2 linked regions of the Bombyx mori genome follow. The protein of the gene in region 1 binds, or shares a complex with, the protein of each later gene. Links are inferred from orthologs where the notes say so. Each region holds a gene or a part of one and is shown in the gene's direction. Other genes may lie near its edges.

What was found. Proteins that work in one complex are often made in the same cells at the same time.
Region 2: splicing factor 3B subunit 3 (region 1) and splicing factor 3A subunit 1 share a complex: the UniProt entries of both Homo sapiens proteins name them as parts of the 17S U2 SnRNP complex. The link is inferred for Bombyx mori from reciprocal best matches to the Homo sapiens genes SF3B3 and SF3A1.

Annotation. Positions count from the first base shown.
Region 1 is NC_085117.1:14,815,534-14,819,812, reverse strand, and holds the start of splicing factor 3B subunit 3, read left to right. Parts: upstream 1-1,461; 5' UTR 1,462-1,622; intron 1,623-1,879; 5' UTR 1,880-1,902; coding exon 1,903-2,128; intron 2,129-2,554; coding exon 2,555-2,725; intron 2,726-4,068; coding exon 4,069-4,263; intron 4,264-4,279. UniProt on the Homo sapiens protein: Component of the 17S U2 SnRNP complex of the spliceosome, a large ribonucleoprotein complex that removes introns from transcribed pre-mRNAs.
Region 2 is NC_085112.1:2,362,091-2,365,749, forward strand, and holds part of splicing factor 3A subunit 1, read left to right. Parts: exon of another isoform or gene 1-14; coding exon of another isoform or gene 15-806; exon of another isoform or gene 807-1,488; coding exon 1,489-1,711; intron 1,712-2,110; coding exon 2,111-2,274; intron 2,275-3,336; coding exon 3,337-3,492; intron 3,493-3,659. Other genes in the region: transmembrane protease serine 3-like, read left to right, coding at 15-806. UniProt on the Homo sapiens protein: Component of the 17S U2 SnRNP complex of the spliceosome, a large ribonucleoprotein complex that removes introns from transcribed pre-mRNAs.

The DNA of each region.
Region 1 (4,279 bases):
AAATTTATTTATGAAACGTCGTACAAACATTATCAGTGACGGTGAGTAAGCGCTGCTTCGTAAAGGCAGGTACTAATTTTTCGACCCGAACCAATCCCACGATGAAAGATCCCAATATTTAGTACTAATATCTGCCAACATTATAAATTCACGTTACTTGTAATAATTACGATACATATTAAAAGGCTGTACCAATATTATTACATACTGTAAAAAAATTATCACAAACCAACCGCATGTACATGGGTGTGCGACAGATATTATGCGATTGGGTGATCAGCTTATAATGTTCATGTGGATGACGGGATCTAGGTTGAGATGTCTGCTCGGTAATTCCTCAACAGCAGGTAGAGTTTTGAGCTCGTCTGCCAAACGGCATTAATAAAATAAAAGATACAAAACATAATGCAGGGACAACACATAGCACAATTATGGCCTTGCAAACCATTATGCACGCAGCGATTCTACTTGTTTTTTTTTTTAAAATAGATTGATCATCGGAGTAACGGACCACTTGGTGTTAAGATAAATCGATTCCCTCGCCCACCTTCGTACATGATGTACAAATCACAATAAAATCTATCCTTAATTCCGTTCAGAAAACGCTCTGGCGGTACCTAAATAAATACATAATTATATATTTATATGACCAAAGGTACAGAAAAGGTACAGTTACAGTTACAGAAAAACAATACAATTTTCCATTAGGCTTAAGGACTCTAGAAGATGTACAGCCTATTCGCCAATTCTCAAGAAGACAGCAGGGTGCCTCACCTTTGGACTGACAGGCGCTCACTGGGCAGACAGAAAAAAATAATTGCGTATTCGCTCAGCTATCAAAAAGCAGAACGGATAGGGAGATTTGTCTACTGCCGCCCTACCGAGGAACTCTACCGAGATTACTGAACCGAGGCCTTAGTCAGGACATTGTATATCTCCGACGACCTTTCAAAATCAGTCGGAAATAATTACGTTGGAAGCACGTTGCATTGCATTCACTTTATGATTTGGCCCTTTTTTCACGTAACAATTTAACACAAAGTGAGCGGTGAGCTCGATGTCTGTAACTAGGAAGAATTTGAGAGAGAGATCCTTATCAAATCTCTAGTGAGATTAGATGTGTCTTAATACGTGTAATTCCGAATAATTTAAGTAAATACATTTAATATAACTGTATTTTAACTAAATTAATTTTGATTTTATTATTAATAAAACTTTTGTTATTAATGAACTAACATTGAAGCTTTATTATCTATTAAGGTAAATTAAAGTTATTTTTATTGTCTATTTAAATATCTCATTGCATGTTATGTGGACTGCAATGGACATCTATTGACAAAAAATAGCCGTTGCTCATTCGTTGAAAGCCTGTGCTACAAGTTTCACTACCCAACAACAGATGGCAGAAAACAGCTACTAAAATATTTCTTATATGGCAACATTCCTCTATAAAACTCGACGCCATGATGCAAAATCCTCTCATTTGATTGGTCCGTGAAAACGAAGCTCAATGGCGTGCTCTGAATCCGCCATTTTACCGGCAACTGCTTGTGCCGGTTCACCCGTGAAAATTAAATACTGCATCGAGCCGCATTGCGGCCATCAATTGCTAATATTTAAAGGTAATCTTTTAATTCTCTCGTTTTGCTAGACTATGATGCATTTCAATTTGTATTTGCACTAGGTATCTCCACGATAAATTATATATTAATCGTGGTCGTTTTTTCGGTGCTATAACAGAAAGCTCACCCATTCGAAAGCACAAAATCCTTTCTGCTTTCGTCAGTTACGAGCCCTACATTTTAATTCCACACCTCTGTTTCAGTTGCTTAATTATTTGAAAAGATAAATTAACTAACCTAACCCGATTTATTTTCAGGGATAGGTTAAAATAAGATCACGATGTATCTCTACAATTTAACACTGCAAGGTTCATCTGCCATAACACATGCCGTACATGGAAATTTCTCTGGAACTAAGCAACAGGAGATTATTATATCACGTGGCAAAACACTTGAATTGTTACGGCCAGATCCGAACACGGGAAAGGTCCACACATTAATGAAAATTGAAATATTTGGTGTAGTTCGGTCTATTATGGCTTTTCGTCTAACCGGAGGAACAAAAGGTAAGTAAACTTTGGCCATGTGACCATGTGGTCCATTGAACTGTGTAGCTTATCTCTTTTAAATTATCTTAATCCCAGAATTTCCTCTCAAATCCAATATTTTTACATTATATAAGATCGAAAATAACACTGCATCATCTTGCTCCATGTTTTTTATAACACAAAGAACATGGGATAACTAGATGCACAAAATATGGCCAAAGCGTCGCTCCTTGCATTTTCTCAATGTTGGGATGTACCGCAATGGAACAAACTAATCCTAACAGATAATGTGAACTTTTATGACTCTTGACTTTGTAGCATGCTTAACATGATAGATTATTGCACACATTATAAACGCAAAAATAACCTAAATCTCCAAAGTTATACCTAACCCTGAACTTACGAACAATAGAACACAACATTAAAATATAGAATTTTCTGCAGATTACATTGTGGTTGGTTCTGATTCTGGACGTATCATCATTTTGGAGTACATCCCAACTAAGAACATTTTGGAGAAAGTCCATCAAGAAACATTTGGTAAATCTGGCTGTAGGAGAATAGTTCCTGGTCAATATCTATCAATTGATCCTAAAGGAAGAGCTGTTATGATTGGTATGGACTTTTTCATAATACCTACCTCTTGAATCAATTTTAGTTTTGGGTTCCAAAAGAGTAGTTTTGGAATGCTGCAACTAAAAATTACAATTAACCTTTAGCACTGCTACAAAGCCATAAGACTTTCTTCTCGTCTCGAAAATCTGCCAGAGTTGCTGATATTCAGTGGTACAAAACGTGGAGTATTAAATTCTAATGCCCGTATCTTTAGACGTTTCGTCAAATAGTCCTCTTAACTCATCCGATGATGCTCGAGCATTCCTCCCAAACTTACTCGAGTTTGGTATTTTTAGTCGACCATTACAATATTCATCAACTGTCCTCGAGTGAGGTAATAATGATTAAAATTTGATCAAGCTTGACTTTATTTATTAGGTAGTAAGCAAAATATGACTCTTATGTAGGTAAATAAGGAGTTTCAAATATCTAACCACTAGTCTAAACAAGAGTCTAACCTCGAACTATTTACTTTATTAATAAAAATTATCAAAATATGTGCGAATCATGCACAGATCCAGGCCATTGCACAACAATATCATATATTTCCATTTGCGGTCCACATACTATTTGGAAATTGATAGAAAACCAGTCTTGAGGAACGTTCATGGTACGTCGCGACGTACCTTGACTTGACAGTTCGCTTACTTCACTCCGATTAGGAAAATTTTCCAAGGACGTTTGAGTGGAGTTTATTTTTACGACTAAGCATACCAAAACGCGCGTTGGAGGTTGAGTCGAGTCAAGCTCGTGTAAACGACTAAAGATACGGGTGTAAGATTTGTTTTCTCTGATTTTGGTTTATTGAAGGGAAACTAGTATAAGTTTACTTAAGCACTGTTTGTGCATACAATTTCAATTGGACCTTTTGTAATTTAATTTGTTTGTACCTTTTAATGTATACTGTAAATTTTTATTGGCATTTATGGTGATGTGAACCAATAAACTGGAAAATATAATTATTAAGATAAGTAATAATGGGACTCTAGTTATGCCACACATGTGATGCATTGATTTGAGACCAAAAATCGCACATGTCTTTTTTTAAGGTGATTATCTCACTCTAAAATCGAAAAACAGGTTTACTGTTTTGAAAACATCAGTAAAAAGATATAAATATCTTAATTCCAATGATGCTTGGTCAATCACTAACTTTTGGTTATCTCTGAAATACTGTCATTTACAATACCATACAATAAAAAAAAAAAAACAATTTTCACTGTCTGATCTTATAAAACTGCTTTTTGTACTTTGAATGGTACAATATTAAATTCATTACATTCCAATTTATTTGCTCAAATGAAATTTACAAAATCAGTACTCAAAGTTTATTTAAATTTTAGGTGCAATTGAAAAACAGAAATTGGTATACATTTTGAATAGAGATGCAGAAGCTCGACTAACAATATCTTCACCACTTGAAGCTCACAAGTCAAACACACTAGTTTATCACATGGTTGGTGTTGATGTTGGATTTGAAAATCCCATGTTTGCATGTTTGGAAATTGATTATGAAGAAGCTGATTCAGATCCTACCGGTTAGTAGTAATTTGT
Region 2 (3,659 bases), on another chromosome or scaffold:
CATTGTAATACATAATGGGTATTGTGGCATTGAATCTAATGTTATATTTCGTTTTGCAAACTGTAAATATTGTGGTTTGCACGAAATCACTGCGCACAGGCAGAGATGCTTTAGAAGATGAGTACCCGTACGTTGTGACGGTCGAGTTAAAACTCACGAATACTACGACGAACGCTCTGCTGTGCTCGGGGTGCGTGCTGACCCCGACCTGGACCCTGACCACCGCGCGCTGCGTCTCCAAAACCGAAGACTTGCTAATCCAGGATCCGAAGATGTCATGGGTGGTGTACTATGGACTCACGCAGAAACCTTCCCAGGACACCGCCATCGCGATCCTTTCCGGAATAGTCCACCCCAGATATGCCGCGTCACCGAGAATGCTTCACAACGACATCGGCCTTCTGCGCACCGATCCCATCACCCTTAAACAGTTCGCCAAATTGAGCGCCGTTGACATGTTCTCTATGAACGGTTACGAAGTTGAGCTAATAGGCTTCAAGTCGACCAATGATACCAGTGGAAAATTGAAGAGAACTCTACAGATTTCATCGGTTGTGGTGAAGACTTGTGAAGGCACCGTTACTTATCCGGGGATGTGTTTGGCTCGGTCCTGCTCGTTGACCGACGCTTGTCACCAGGAAACTGGAGGTATAGCCATCCACAGCACCGGGGTCATAGCACTCCTGGCCAGTGGACGCAAGAGGGACTGCTTGGAGAACAATGAGAGACAGCAGGCCTATCAAATTGAGACAATGACTTCAATTGTGCCATATATAGATTGGATTCATACTCATATCAAGAGCTAATAGTAGCTAGTGTAAGATTGGTGTCAGAAGCTTCAGTGAACGGATGAAATTTGTATTGTTTTCTCAATAAAAGTGTTTGTTTATGAGCTTTATTTGTATTTAGCTTTTAAAAGCAATTAAAAATGCTCAGTTAACTTGATGATTACCCGCCTTTAGTTAAGCCTGCTCACTAAAGTATTGATATTTTACACTGACTAACTTTGTACGCTTCGGGCTTGTGTTGGATCAATGTTTTATCTTCTCGTTATTTTACTTGCTTAGCTTATACTGTTGTGTATGCACAAATGAAAGATTCCAAAGCAGACTGGTTTATTTTTGCATCTACCCGCCATTTTATAATGCGATTTAATATCTATACATAACACTTGTAATAAAGGGAGGTGGCGGAATTCATGGAATTCATTTGGTGAACTATATCTGATGTTTATAGGTTCCGTGAAGCTGTTGACCTGGAGTTGGCCATTAGTTTGTTCAAATAATTGTTCCATGCTCTCTGCGACATACGCCTTAGTAACTTCTTACTGCATTTCCAAATAGTAAGGAAATTGTATAATGGTAAACATGACGTAATAGCTTAGGTTATTTGAAGATACACTTTTTTAACGAGCATAATAAGAAATACTATTGCAACATTCTCTTCGAAACTCGTTTAAGATACTCATTACGATTGATTACAATTCAGGTTAAAGGTCTACTCCCCGACGAGGAGAAAGAGAAAATAGGTCCGAAGCCAGTGACCGGGGCAGCCCAGAGCCGGGCGGGGCGTCCCCCCGCGCCCCCCTCTGCCCCCCGCGCTGCTCCGCCTCCCCCGCCCCCGGCACCGCCTGTGCTGCTGCAGCCGATGTCCTCGCTAATGGTCCTGCCCCCCATGGCGCCCCGACCTCCGCTCATACCGGCTCCAGTGGGTACGTATACTCGAACACTGCACACATTCCGTACAACATGGCGCTAAGATCGCGTGCCTGATTTACTGGTGCCGGACAATGTACATGTAGTCTTAGGGAGTTAAGCTACAGATTAGAGGAAGAGTTGATGGAATGATAGAGTAAAGTGACATCTGAATGTGATCGCTGTGAGGGGATCATATGGTCAAAGTGTTCTGTGCAGGGGACCGACCCATCGTGGGTCGGTGAGTATCGGCTTCGGTCTGTGCACCCACGGTGTGTTGGACCCCACCTAACGCCAGTTGAGCTGTAGATTCGCGTGCCAGTAATGCATGCAACTATCCAAATATTGTGTGTGCTTCTTGCATAACACATCCGCTCAGTACATTTTGTACCAATAATGTGATTGCATCGCCTTAGGTGCAGTACCACCGCCGGCGTTCAACTTCGGAGCGGTAGTCCCTCCGGGCACAGTGGCGGAGCCCGAGGACGAGGGCCCGGCCGCTAAGAGAGCCCGCACCGAGGACGCGCTGGAGCCCGAGGGCGCCTGGCTCGCGCGCCACCCCGGCGCAGTCCCCCTGCAGGTGGGCTACCAGTAACACTACAATGATTGCTCTTACGCTAACAAACATTACAACTACAAACAAATAGAAAATCGGTCCAGTGTTTTTTTATTTTTTTTTATTGCTCAGAGGGGTGGACGAGCTTACAGCCGACCTGATGTTAAGTGGTTACTGAAGCCCATATACATCTACAACGTAAATGCGCCACCCACCTTGAGATATAAGTTCTAAGGTCTAAGTATAGTTACAACGGCTGCCCCACCCTTCAAACCGAAACGCATTACTGCTTCACGGCAGAAATAGGCACGGTGGTGGTACCCACCCGCGCGTATTATTAATATACCCCCAATATTAATATGTAGACAGAAGTGCTCTAATTTAATACGGTTTTATTAGCTTCATACGTATGTTAGTAAGTAACGGAATCTTTGAACATGATTTTGACCCCCTTCAAAACGTCAGATTGATTCGAAATTTGGCATACTTATTAAGGACCGATTAAAATTCAATATTTTAAACAATTAGACTCGTTATCCTTACTAGGATAATCAGGAATAGCGATTTTTTGTTTTCCTGAGACCCTGAGTGTCTGCGTCAAAACCAAGATGGGAAACCACCAGGCCCGCTGATTACCTATTTCTCGGATAAGTTACCGACTGTATCAGATGAAAGTTTTGAAATATTGAAAAAAAAAATTAATAAATTAAAATTCAACTAAAAAAATAGAAAATAAATTTTAATTAAAAATAGTCTAAGAAAAAATTATATTATTGTAAAAAAATCGTGGGGCGCACTGTATCAATAGTTATAAATATTTTATGAACAGATATGAGTAGAAGGGCTATTTTGATAATATACTGAAAAGCACCCGTACCTCCTACGAGGTCTCCGCGCTTAGGAGGCGCGCGGGGTAGGTACGTGGGACTGGTCCGCGACTGCGAGACTGCGGGCCCAAGGATGTTTTCAGGGCCCTAGAGTGGTGGTACCTACCCGTGCGGACTCACAAGACGTCCTACCACCAGGAATGCATTATGTTAATTGTATGATATTGTACCCTAATGCCCTTGTCCCTTGTGTCGGCAGGTGTCGTTGCCGGCGGCGCCTGAGCGCGCGGAGTGGCGGCTGGACGGGCGCGCGGTGCCGCTGACGCTGCCGCTGTCGGCCGCCGTCGCCGAGCTCAAGGCCATGCTGCAGCGCGCCACCAACATGCCCACCGCCAAGCAGAAGCTGCACTACGAGGTATCCCGACACGCTCAAATACTCGCATAGCTCACCGTAACAAATGATTAGCCATATTTTTTCCCCGGTTTTGACAGACCATATTAGCGTCAGGCGAATAGGTGAGCTCATGGGGCTCAAATCTGACGTTGTTGCTAACACGAACCCTAGCAAGAGCTGTGCTTCGC